Saccharomyces cerevisiae S288C: one gene and its partners. Changing the gene in region 4 together with the main gene of any one other region gives a genetic interaction. Each region holds a gene or a part of one and is shown on either strand. Other genes may lie near its edges.

Region 1 (4,396 bases), on a different chromosome or scaffold from region 4:
ATCACCGCAAGTCAATCTTCTCCCAATAAAGAGGCACTCAAACGAAGAGGTAGAGGAGACTGCAGCGATTCTAAAAAAGCGTACTATAGATAATGAAAAGTGTAAAGACAGCGACCCTGGTTTTGGTTCCCTTCAAAGAAGGTTACTGCAGCAACTTTATGGCACACTTCCTACGGACGAAAAGATAATCTTCACATATTTACAAGATTGTCAACAAGAGATCGATAGAATCATTAAACAATCCATTATTCAGAAAGAGAGTCATTCAGTAATTCTCGTGGGGCCCAGACAAAGTTACAAAACATACTTATTAGACTATGAACTGTCTTTGTTGCAACAATCTTATAAAGAGCAGTTTATAACTATCAGGTTGAATGGGTTTATTCACTCCGAACAAACAGCTATTAACGGTATAGCAACTCAATTGGAACAGCAGTTGCAGAAAATTCATGGCAGTGAAGAAAAAATTGACGATACTTCATTAGAGACTATTAGCAGTGGTTCTTTGACAGAAGTGTTTGAGAAAATTCTTTTACTCTTAGATTCGACCACGAAGACAAGAAATGAAGATAGTGGTGAGGTTGACAGAGAGAGTATAACAAAGATAACAGTTGTTTTTATATTCGATGAAATTGATACATTTGCTGGGCCTGTGAGGCAAACTTTATTATACAATCTTTTTGACATGGTAGAACATTCTCGGGTACCTGTTTGCATTTTTGGCTGCACAACGAAATTAAATATCTTGGAATATTTAGAAAAGAGGGTAAAGAGTAGATTTTCTCAAAGAGTGATTTATATGCCGCAAATACAGAATCTAGACGATATGGTTGACGCCGTCAGAAATTTACTTACAGTTCGCTCTGAAATCTCCCCCTGGGTTTCACAATGGAATGAAACGTTGGAAAAAGAACTATCCGACCCTCGATCGAATTTGAATAGACATATTAGGATGAATTTCGAAACCTTTAGGTCATTACCTACATTGAAAAATAGCATAATTCCATTAGTAGCGACATCCAAAAATTTTGGTTCACTCTGCACTGCCATAAAATCGTGTTCTTTTCTTGACATATACAATAAGAACCAACTATCTAATAATTTAACAGGAAGGCTCCAATCTTTATCCGATTTAGAGTTAGCCATTTTGATCTCAGCCGCTAGGGTTGCCTTAAGGGCGAAAGACGGATCTTTTAATTTTAATTTAGCTTATGCAGAGTATGAAAAGATGATTAAAGCTATCAACTCCAGAATTCCCACCGTGGCTCCTACTACAAATGTGGGAACAGGTCAAAGTACTTTTTCTATCGACAATACTATCAAACTATGGTTGAAAAAGGACGTCAAGAACGTTTGGGAAAATTTAGTGCAACTGGATTTTTTTACCGAGAAATCAGCCGTTGGTTTGAGAGATAATGCGACCGCAGCATTTTACGCTAGCAATTATCAATTTCAGGGCACCATGATCCCGTTTGACTTGAGAAGTTACCAGATGCAGATCATTCTTCAGGAATTAAGAAGAATTATCCCCAAATCTAATATGTACTACTCCTGGACACAACTGTGAATCTTGGGAACAATATACAGACATTTTATTGGCGGTAGCAACTCTGATATTCCACTGTTCAGCTTTCCTAATAAGTAAGTTCAAGATTATGTGGTCATCGCGTCGAACGGAAATACACCCATACACCAAACCTCTGTGAATTTGAAAAATTCACATATGCATTTAATAGAGCATAGGCAATGTAGAGAGAGAAATTAACAATGGTGAAAAGAAATATTACCAAACACCAGCAAAAGAAATTGTATAGTATTAGCAGTACATTCGTGGTCAAGCAGAATAACAGTAAAATAATATGAGTGATAATGGTTCCCCCGCGGTTCTTCCAAAAACCGAATTTAATAAATACAAAATCGGCAAAGTGAAGAGTACACCAGCCATCCAGCGAGATGCGAAGACTAACTTAACATACATCAAACTAAGAAAAAGAAGTAGTGAGAAAGTTTACGGGTGTACAGTTTTCCAGAATCATTATCGTGAGGATGAAAAATTAGGACAAGGAACATTTGGTGAGGTTTATAAGGGAATTCATTTAGAGACTCAAAGACAAGTGGCAATGAAAAAAATTATAGTTAGCGTTGAAAAAGATCTGTTTCCTATAACTGCACAACGAGAAATTACTATTTTAAAGCGTTTAAACCACAAAAATATTATTAAACTAATCGAAATGGTGTATGACCATTCACCGGATATTACAAATGCGGCATCCAGCAACCTACATAAGTCATTCTACATGATCCTGCCGTATATGGTAGCAGATCTGTCGGGCGTTTTGCATAATCCGAGAATCAACTTAGAGATGTGCGATATAAAGAATATGATGCTACAAATATTAGAAGGCCTAAATTATATTCATTGTGCAAAATTCATGCATAGGGATATAAAGACAGCAAATATTTTGATTGACCACAACGGTGTTTTAAAGCTTGCTGATTTTGGTTTAGCAAGATTATATTATGGCTGTCCTCCAAACTTAAAGTATCCTGGTGGTGCAGGTTCCGGCGCCAAATATACATCAGTAGTCGTAACGAGATGGTATAGAGCACCTGAGTTGGTGCTTGGTGATAAACAGTATACAACAGCTGTTGATATATGGGGTGTCGGATGCGTTTTCGCAGAATTTTTTGAGAAAAAACCTATTTTACAGGGAAAAACGGATATTGATCAGGGACATGTTATTTTCAAACTACTTGGTACACCGACAGAAGAAGATTGGGCCGTGGCTAGATATTTGCCAGGTGCTGAACTAACAACAACTAATTACAAGCCAACGTTGAGGGAAAGATTTGGTAAATATCTAAGTGAAACAGGTCTAGATTTTTTAGGACAGTTGTTAGCGTTAGATCCTTACAAGAGGTTGACCGCTATGTCTGCTAAACACCATCCTTGGTTTAAAGAGGACCCTTTACCATCAGAGAAGATAACATTACCGACGGAAGAAAGTCATGAAGCTGATATTAAGAGGTACAAGGAAGAAATGCACCAATCATTGTCCCAAAGAGTACCTACTGCGCCAAGAGGTCATATAGTTGAAAAGGGTGAATCACCTGTCGTGAAAAATCTTGGGGCGATCCCAAGAGGCCCCAAGAAAGATGACGCAAGTTTTTTGCCTCCATCAAAGAACGTATTGGCTAAGCCGCCTCCTTCGAAAATAAGAGAACTACATCAAAATCCTAGACCGTATCATGTGAACAGCGGATATGCTAAAACTGCGATTCCACCGCCAGCAGCCCCTGCAGGAGTTAATAGATACGGACCCAACAATAGTTCCAGAAATAATCGCTTCAGCGGCAACAGCACTGCACCCAACAACAGCAGGAATCCCGTAAATCGATTTCATCCTGAGACAAATGTCAGCTCTAAATATAATAAAGTACCTTTGCCATTGGGGCCTCAGTCAAGATACCAGGGTAATTCAAATGAGTCCCGGTACAAAAACTCGCCAAATGACTCTAGATATCATAACCCTAGGTACGTGAACAAGCCGGAAACCAACTTCAATAGGCAACCACAGAAATATAGTCGCCAAGAATCCAATGCGCCAATCAATAAAAATTATAATCCTTCAAACGGTTCTCGCAATATGGCTGGTGATCATCATCAAGGCTCGAGACCTTCTCATCCACAATTCCCAATCTCGCCCTCACAGGGGCAGCATCAGCTTACGAGTAAACCAATAGAGAAAAAAAATGGAAGCTTTAAGGATGAAAGAGCGAAACCAGATGAGTCTAAGGAGTTCCAAAATAGTGATATTGCAGATCTATATTAGGTTATACTATTCTCTCTTCCTTTCTGGCCTCGTGGCTAATTACGGAAAGTTGTATACTGACTACTATGTAATCTATCACGTTTTGTCACTGTCTCGCTCTTTTCAAACAATCCATAAAATCGAAACTATTGTCAAAACGTCAGTACATCCTACCTGATAGGGACTGTACCAATGTCAACGTTCGAGTAAGTGATAATAAGGACCGCCTTACCCACCTTCAGGACACTCGGTTTTACACAAGCGTTATCCTGCGCGGATTTTCAATATGAAAACAACTAAGTTTTCCTGTAACATCATATATACCATTTAAAAGAGTGCCAAAAAACCGATAACGATTATTTTAAAGGCGTTTTATATAAGAGAAGAAGTAAAGAGAAAAAAGCGCTTACTAGAAATGGGGAGAAGGGTGCCAAAGAGATAAAAAAAACTCCCAGCTAAGTCACTGGTTCAACGTTCCAAATGGTATCGGAGTATTCCTCGATACAACGATCACTGCTAAAGAAGCCGACGTTTGCAACGCTCAGGACACTCTTTTTTAACCATTCTGACCTTTGATTGTGGAA
Region 2 (2,842 bases), on a different chromosome or scaffold from region 4:
GCCCCAGTCATGATATATCTCAGCATGTTATGGATGCGTCTCGTGCTTTAGAAATGGAAAATTTTAACTTCAGCTACTCCTTGCAAGACGGACAAAGGAATTTAACTAAACAATACTTGAAGGTACCAGAGAGTGAAAAAATGTTCCTGATATCGCCCCCAGCATCACCACCTCCCGAATTCGATTTCAGCAAATGTGAGGATGCGCCACAAAGGCATATACAAAGTCATATACAACAGGACCAGCAGCAGCGGTTGGAAGCTAGCCAACTATTGCCTAATAATCCAGACAAAAATAACAATGGTACTTTCACGTTATTGAAATCAAAGGTGGGCGCAATTACCATTGATAGATGTCCCACGAACGATGGAAATGGACAGATGCAATTAGCGGACCACGTTAAAACCGCTTTCCCACCAAAATCTATATTCGATACTGATGACGATGATTAAGATGGCGAGGCGATTTGTTGGCTTAAGAGACTTAAATGCTTACGGGTGGTTGCTTTAAAATATAAAATATATATGACCTAAGTAAATATGGTTTTTTCTCAGGACCGGATTATTCATCGTCACTATCTACCAAGGCGCCTCTGCCTCTTTTAACTTGGCCTATCCTCTCCTCGTCCGAGTCTACCTCCTCTTCATCAGAATCTATTTCGCCATCATTTTGCGTTTTAGCATCTTGCTCTGAATCACTTTCGTAATCACTATCAGAACCTTCGTCACCATCATCTGTGTCACTTCCACGGCCAGAATTGACTTCTTCGACGGCGTCAAACCAATCACTATATACATCAACAGGCTGTGATAATGAATTTATGCGCGTTTGGAACGACTGCCCACAAATCTTGCACGATAAAGTTCCTATACTATTTTTTTTGTCCAGAGTGCATGAAACTGATTTTTCATGATTACAAAATAAACAATTGAATTTCGTATCTAATTTTTGGACCAGTCTCTTGGTAGGCTTTCTTGTTGACTTCTTTCTTTTACCCATGGCTCGTTAATTGTTTTCAGTGTTTTTTATGACATTCTTCTTCATAATTCTCCCCATCTTTATTACTATTCCTTTTCCAATTATTTGTAGATTATTGCTTTACCAAAGTTTAATCATTTTAAACGTTTTTGTTTCTTCCGTTTTCAGAATTTTTACAATTTGTCACCGAAATAGCAGTTTTTGTTTAATTTTAACGCTATGGGGTAAAAATTTTGGGCCCAATTTCAACTGAAAGAAGAGATATTTTAAATATGATAAGATAATCTTATAACTACGAATTTATTATTTTGTACGTGTCATAATAAATAAGGAAGTGCCTGAAGAGCGTTAAGTAACTTTGGAATCTTCGTTATGAAAACATTGGCTATTTGTTTCAGAAAAAAGCCGTTTAAGTACTTAAAAGAATAGTTATGTTTATATAGGTATGGTGACGAGGCTCTACATAGGACTAATAATGGTGATTTCCCGTCCAGTTTGGTTTACCCTCGTACCATCAAAAGCCTACAAATTCACAGGAAAATCGAAAAAAGATCCTTTCAAAGGTATTTTTCGTCGTGGTTTATTTCCAATGTTGTCATCTTTTTGTCTAACATCTCTCCCACCGATTTTGTCTCACTAACGCGATGATTTTGAATAGGAATGTAGTTTGAACTGTGAAATCATGACAGAATAAGCATGTTACATATAAATATTGGTTACCGTATTTCTTACGCTAGCATACTTCAAGTGTCTTTTGTACTTCTTAAGTTCTTTTGTTTTTGGATAATGATTTAATGCGACACATTGAAAAGGATAATGAATTCTTGCTGGGAACCTCGAACCAAATATTGTGACCTGGAAATGTTGTGTGCAAGACACCGTGAAATCACGCAATAAGACATATCTATACCGTGACAACTCCAAAAAATCCTAAAAACGGCAATTACGTGCAGAAGAATAACGGAAGTTCAGATAGTGGAGAGAAGAATTTATTCTTGTCCCTAAAATGCCCACCAGAGCAGCACTTCTAGTAAGCACATGCATGCTCCACCGCAAATCATCATATTGACGGTATCACACTATAAAAGAATAAAACATGTTGCAAGGCATAATTACTACCGAATTGCAAAAAATTGAACACCAACTTAGCGTGGTTCTATCAGAGAACGACATATCAATTCCTCACAATGAAAAACTAACTGACTAGAATACTTCCACTTTGGTGCCGCATTTGATGAAACAGCAAATAATACCTACACTTAAGTTGAATGAAGATTTCGTTTTCTTTGAGATAGCTCGAGGACATTCACGAAAGAAAAAATTTTAAAGAACAGTTTATAAGCTCTTTTTTAGAATCCTATTCTGTTTACTTCACTGTTCACTTACTTTCGGTCCCACATCTACAAAACATCTACAACAAGAACGTGGGCGATACAGCAAAAAATCACTTGAAATAACAGAATCAAGTTTCTTATCCGATTTCCTACTTTTGAGCTCCGGCTTATGTTGAAGATGTTACTTTTCTTTGTCTCTAAGTGATCTTTATTTTTCTGGCTCCAGTGAAATTTGGTAATAGCATAGTCACTTCAACTAAAGTCTGATAGTAATACTTGCAAATATTGCAAAACTTGGAAGAATGTTAATGAATCATTTCTTGCACCATTCTTTCAATCATCTCAATCTCCTGCTGTGATGTTTAAGTATAACATTGAAGACTATGCCCTAATTTCCAATGTTATTTAGTTTTAAGCATATCTTTGTTTCTAACAGGAAACTCAGGCCCACATCCGCAAAAAAATATGTGCCAAAAAACTTTCAACACTTCAAAGATACTTACCACTGCAGGAAAATAATCTACGTGTAA
Region 3 (3,188 bases), 200 kb from region 4:
CCACTATCCCAGCCACGTAATGATCCATGACATTAACATAGAAAAAAAAAATCGAAGCATGCACAAACCTGAGATTTATATATGTTCATGTGTACTTAATATACGTTTAATGATTAAAACTATAGCCGTCCTCAGGCAAACTGAGATAAGAAACGAAAAAATAGCAGTAACGTAAACGTTATTCTATATTTATAAAGACGTCAAAAAAAAAAGTGATTGTGATATTGAGATGTAAGCTATATACCGAACTTTGAGCTCCCTCACGTGGAAAATATGATAGATTGTTGCCTCATCATTGCGGAACCGCATTTTTTTTTTGTATTTTTGCCTCCCTAGTTTCAAAATGCACCAAATTCTCCCCTTAATGCTTTTTGTTTTAAGTCCCAAATAGCCATCCTTTCATCATCGGGCAAGATAGAAATTTGACTGTCATTCAGTTGTAACACCTGTTTCAGTAGTTCTTTCTGTTTGTTAAGCACAGCTGGATCCACCACCTCGTTCACGCTATTGTTATTCGTAGCCGATGCCTCTTCTTGCGGCCTGGAAGCTAACGGGATCAAATCATCCACTTTACATATCCCATTCGTTAGCAATAATTCAGCCGTAACAAAACTCAACTGTGGACACAGCTCTAATAGCGAAACAGCATCTTCAGGATGCGCTCTTGTCCATTCTTGGAATTTTTGTAAAAATTTCAACTGCACCTCTTTCGGTTTTTTAGCTAGTTCGCTCGATATCATCATAGCAGGGGTGGTCATGTTTATGTTAACGTCGATACCAGAGGGCAATTCTGGAAACTTTTGACTTAGAAAATTGGCATTTCCGCTGTTTTGAAAGTCCGGCCCATTACTATTATTATTATTATTTCCATTGTTGTTATTGTTCCCATTAATGTTGTTGTACTGTTGTTGTTGCTGTTGTGAAACTCCCGATATATCACTATTGCTGGAGTAACCGCATTTCAAAAACCTAGAGCCTAATTGGTATCCATTCAAATTACGTACTGCGCTGGCACTGGACTCTAAATCTCTAAATTCAATAAACGCGTACCCTTTCGACCTACCAGTTTGGGGGTCGAACATCATTTTCAAATTGATCACGGGCCCAACATTACTACATAAATCAAGTATCTGCTCCTCTGTTTGATCGTATGGTATAGAACCCAGATACACCACTCGGGATGGTGGGTTGTTCTGTACCCCCGCATTCACACCGCTCTGCCTATTCATTTTATCGTTTTCGTCTTTTCTTTCAATGTATTGATAATTAACGTGTCTATGTGATGCTATTGGTATATAGCCTTTCTTGTATATCCCTCTAACAATTATTACAAGTGTTTCTGTTTAAAGCAAGTGCTAGAAGTGACTCGGTTCTCTTAGGAAATTCTAAACGCAAGATTTCTCTTATGGTGATTGTAACAATTATGAGATACTTCACTAGCCCACCTTAACTTTACGGACCTTCTTTTGAAACGATGCTTCGAATGACAACGCCTTTTTGATATATAATATCCAATTTCATTATAGGGAAATTTTCAACTCTTACCCGCCCCACTGTGCTGATATGACCAAGTGATCACTCGATGATGGGACTACGTATTGAAAAATATTGAATGAAAAATTACTCAAGCAGCAGAACATTCACAGTGTAGTCAGTCCGCATAAGAGCATTCATCATGGATAGTAAGGAAGTACTGGTACATGTTAAGAATCTAGAAAAGAACAAAAGTAATGATGCTGCAGTTCTAGAAATCTTACATGTCTTGGATAAAGAATTCGTCCCCACTGAAAAGTTACTGAGAGAAACAAAAGTTGGTGTGGAAGTCAACAAGTTTAAAAAATCCACTAATGTAGAGATCAGCAAACTCGTGAAGAAAATGATTAGCTCTTGGAAAGACGCAATTAATAAAAATAAGCGTTCCAGGCAAGCACAGCAGCATCATCAAGATCATGCGCCAGGCAATGCAGAGGACAAGACAACTGTAGGTGAGTCCGTGAATGGTGTTCAACAGCCGGCCTCCTCCCAGTCAGATGCCATGAAACAAGACAAGTACGTCAGCACTAAACCAAGAAATAGTAAGAACGATGGTGTGGATACAGCTATATACCACCACAAATTACGTGATCAGGTACTAAAAGCACTCTACGACGTTTTGGCCAAGGAAAGTGAGCATCCACCTCAATCTATTTTGCATACTGCAAAGGCCATAGAAAGTGAAATGAATAAAGTTAACAACTGTGACACCAACGAAGCCGCTTACAAAGCCAGGTATCGTATAATTTATTCAAACGTCATATCAAAGAATAACCCAGATCTCAAACATAAAATTGCCAACGGTGATATAACACCTGAATTCTTAGCTACATGCGATGCCAAGGATCTGGCACCAGCGCCCTTAAAGCAAAAGATAGAAGAAATTGCCAAGCAAAACTTATACAACGCACAGGGTGCCACCATAGAAAGGTCAGTCACCGATAGATTTACATGTGGTAAATGTAAAGAGAAGAAGGTATCTTACTATCAATTGCAAACAAGATCTGCGGATGAACCATTGACCACTTTCTGTACATGTGAAGCATGTGGTAACAGATGGAAATTCTCTTAGAATAGAAAAAGATGAGAGTAGCCACGGACAGAGCAAAGGAAACAATAGGAGGAAGGGACAGAAAAGCCTGTTCTGACTCTATTCGTAGTAGTATTTGACAGCCGGAATCCAGGAAAAGAAAAAGCCAAACATACAACCATATCCAATTTGTTGAAATGGCATATTCATATACGATGTACATATATACATATACTGCTGGTGTTAATTTTTTTTGTCTGTCTCACGTAAAATCTTTTGTTCGTCCAGTTACTTTTAATTATTTATGATTTTCATGTTTTCTTTATTAATCTTCTATGCATTAAATATGGCTCGGTCAGAACTAAAGAAATACAATTTAAGATGTAACAAAACCGACGAATAAAAAGTTAGAATAAACACAAGAAGCAGAAAGTAGATACTACAGCCACACATAATGCTAAGAGTTATATGGAAGCATAGTTCCAGAGTCACTCGTTCGATAGAACTATCGAACATTTCTACCACTAATCACACCAGGAGTTTAAGGAGGCTTTCCTGGATTTCTCCGAGAAGATTTTACGCTCAATCTTGGGACGACAGACAGCCTAATGACAAAATAGATGCA
Region 4 (2,701 bases):
TGGGCGTTATTGGCTGTACTAATTTCCTCAGTTCTTGTTGTTTCAAAATTCTCCTCCGCTGCCATATACTGAATGGCAGCGTCACGAGGGTTCTAAGGGTCATAGTAGTCAAAGGAACAAGCACTATCCATGGTATATGTGAGGCTTCATGCACTGTTAAAAACGTGTCCGCTACACTTTGAAAAAGTGAAAAGCTTCTCTTTGTACTTGGATTAGTCCTACCATATCGCAGACCGACTGAGCTGCACGAGAATGACGCAAAACCATTTTGACGATTGGCTAACCTCTTTAACATAATGCCATACTTTATCTTGAAATTTTCCTATCCTTGGACCTTTTTTTTCTAATGAAAGTCTTTTTAGCCTTAGTTGAATTACTGGACGGTAGAAAAATTGGGTTTGCCAGCAAAAACAAAAGTGCAGAACGTTAAATAAATGAAAGCATAAACTCATATGCTAGAATATTTACTAAAAAAAAAAAAAAGTAAAAAAAATTCATTACTATTATACATGTGATATCAGAACGGAAGGTTTTACTCAACTTGACTGCCATCCCTCGGTTTGTAGTGAGGCAACAGCTCCACAACCTCAGCTGGTAGTCTACCATCGACCTTGATGGCGTACATACCAGCTATACTATGATCTACGCTCAGCCACTTTGCTACCCACGACTTAGTAGGCTTACACATTCCTACGAGGCCCTCGAAAGAAGGCGACGTACATTCCATTGTAGAAACACCTGCCTCTTCAAAAATACCCTGACAGTTGGGACAACCATCTCTATTAAACTCATTTGTGGTCTGCACTATGCCACACAGCATACAGGCTCTTTCACTAGACATCTCTTACACTGTACCTCGTTCGCTTTTGCCAAACTGAATGTGGCCAGGTGTAATTATTACACAGTACATCCTTCGAGCCCTTTCTTAAATTTCACTTTTTCACTCGATTTCACTCATAGAACGTATAAGGTGACCTTTATCAACATCGAGATTAATTATAGATAGAAGATGATTAAATTATATACATGAATATATTTATTTGAGGTATGGTGTCTAAAGCGTAATATACCTATCTACTTCACGTAAATTGGACTACGAGGACCGCTTTAAATAGTAGTAACCATCTCTTTCCTCCATATTTTTCTTTACAAATTCTGGAAGCTCTTCACCCTTATTACTATCATACAAGATGATACCATTACCTAGAGCATGTTTCTTTTCGTTTCTCTTGTAAAAAAAAAGTACAACAAACGTCCATAAACCGTAAATAGCACCAAAAATTAAGCTCACGGTGTAACCAGTCTTAAAACGTGGTGACTCCACGGTAGGCCACGCCAAGGTAGGAATCCAGGCGTAAGTGGATTGAGAGAAGGAATAAATGGCGATCCATGTAATAGCCTTCACCTGAGGATCAAACCTTAAGAAGTCATTAATAAACGACCATAGACAAGGCGATGCGGCCACACTGAAATACGTGGTGAAGAAAGCGTACCATTTAGCTTTCGAAGGAATATCCCACTTGATAAGTAAGGCACAAGAAACGGTATTCATTATAGCAGCAAAAACCATGAATATCCACTTACATCTAAATAAATCGGCACCAAAGGCACAAAAAATCACATACGCAAATCCTAAACATGCGGGTATAACACTCAGGTTGTTCACTTGGGCAATGGAGTACTTTGTATTAGACTTTAACCACAAAGTATATGAACCACTATACGCAGTCATGTTATTCCACGAACATGTATCAAAAACAACAAGTACCCAGAATGCTGGAGTACAAAATACTTTCTTCCAAAGTTTTCTGCTCCATAATGGGGCTAGCTTACTTTTATCAACACCATCTTTGATTTGGTTCCTCTTATTTCTGGCCCTTGCAATTCGTATTTCTTCGTCAGTCAGAAATAAAGAGTAACACTTAGATGGTACACCGGGAATAACAAAAAAACCAATAATAGCCGTGGGAAGAGAAATTGCAATGGCATCGATCAGAAACATCCATCTCCAGCCTGCTAGACCATGGACGCCGTTCAAACTTTTGAATATGCGACTTTGCAGAAGTCCTGAAGTCACGGAACCCAATTGTTGCCCACAAAAGAATAAACAGACTCTTGAATTAATTTCATCTGGGGCATACCAACAACCTAGTATATATTGGGACACTGGGTAGTAAGCAGCGCCAAAGGCACTTAAAATAAATCTGTAAGCCCTTAGTTCGGCTAGTGAGTTTGCCCTATAACATGCAAATGTGAACCAAGTCCAGCCCAAGTCCATTACAGGCAAAATAATATGAGAGGGAAATCTTGGTAACAAATACATAAATGGTAATTGGAAGACAATGGCACCAACATTAGCAATAGTAGAAGTGTAAACGTAATCATTACCTTTCATGTTTAAATCTTCCTTCATATTGGAAACATATGCGTTAGTGTAGTTATTCAAATCCACTGACTTGGACCAACATAACATAAAAAAGTATAAAGCAATAATAATGTCTAGCTTGTAAAGAAGCCGTCTTTCAGCCTTGGTTTGAGTAGTATGATTAGGATACAAAAACTCGTACCACTTACGTGATTTCTTGTATTCCTTATTAACACGATACTCGAATTCATCAAAATATTTCCACCATTTACGCCCAGCTTCATCTCTCACTTCATATGGCAAGTCATGCCTTAAATTGTGAGGATGAGGTTCTAC

What was found.
Region 1: mutations in SPT4 (region 4) and SGV1 are lethal when combined (synthetic lethality), as found in Saccharomyces cerevisiae (2 studies listed by BioGRID, with this or other methods).
Region 2: mutations in SPT4 (region 4) and ELF1 are lethal when combined (synthetic lethality), as found in Saccharomyces cerevisiae (3 studies listed by BioGRID, with this or other methods).
Region 3: mutations in SPT4 (region 4) and DST1 impair growth when combined (synthetic growth defect), as found in Saccharomyces cerevisiae (4 studies listed by BioGRID, with this or other methods).

The regions. Positions count from the first base shown.
Region 1 is NC_001148.4:863,886-868,281, reverse strand, and holds SGV1 (cyclin-dependent serine/threonine protein kinase SGV1), read left to right. Parts: upstream 1-1,859; coding exon 1,860-3,833; downstream 3,834-4,396. Other genes in the region: ORC4 (origin recognition complex subunit 4), read left to right, coding at 1-1,567; GPH1 (glycogen phosphorylase), read right to left, coding at 4,268-4,396. UniProt on the Saccharomyces cerevisiae protein: Serine/threonine-protein kinase component of the BUR kinase complex involved in transcription regulation.
Region 2 is NC_001143.9:151,426-154,267, reverse strand, and holds ELF1 (Elf1p), read right to left. Parts: upstream 1,000-2,842; coding exon 562-999; downstream 1-561. Other genes in the region: RCN1 (Rcn1p), read left to right, coding at 1-452. UniProt on the Saccharomyces cerevisiae protein: Transcription elongation factor implicated in the maintenance of proper chromatin structure in actively transcribed regions.
Region 3 is NC_001139.9:415,808-418,995, forward strand, and holds DST1 (transcription elongation factor DST1), read left to right. Parts: upstream 1-1,675; coding exon 1,676-2,605; downstream 2,606-3,188. Other genes in the region: RNA15 (Rna15p), read right to left, coding at 339-1,229; YGL041C-B (uncharacterized protein), read right to left, coding at 2,897-3,079; DPC13 (Dpc13p), read left to right, coding at 3,018-3,188. UniProt on the Saccharomyces cerevisiae protein: Necessary for efficient RNA polymerase II transcription elongation past template-encoded arresting sites.
Region 4 is NC_001139.9:616,984-619,684, forward strand, and holds SPT4 (transcription elongation factor SPT4), read right to left. Parts: upstream 842-2,701; coding exon 533-841; downstream 1-532. Other genes in the region: membrane insertase COX18, read right to left, coding at 1-295; VHT1 (Vht1p), read right to left, coding at 1,094-2,701.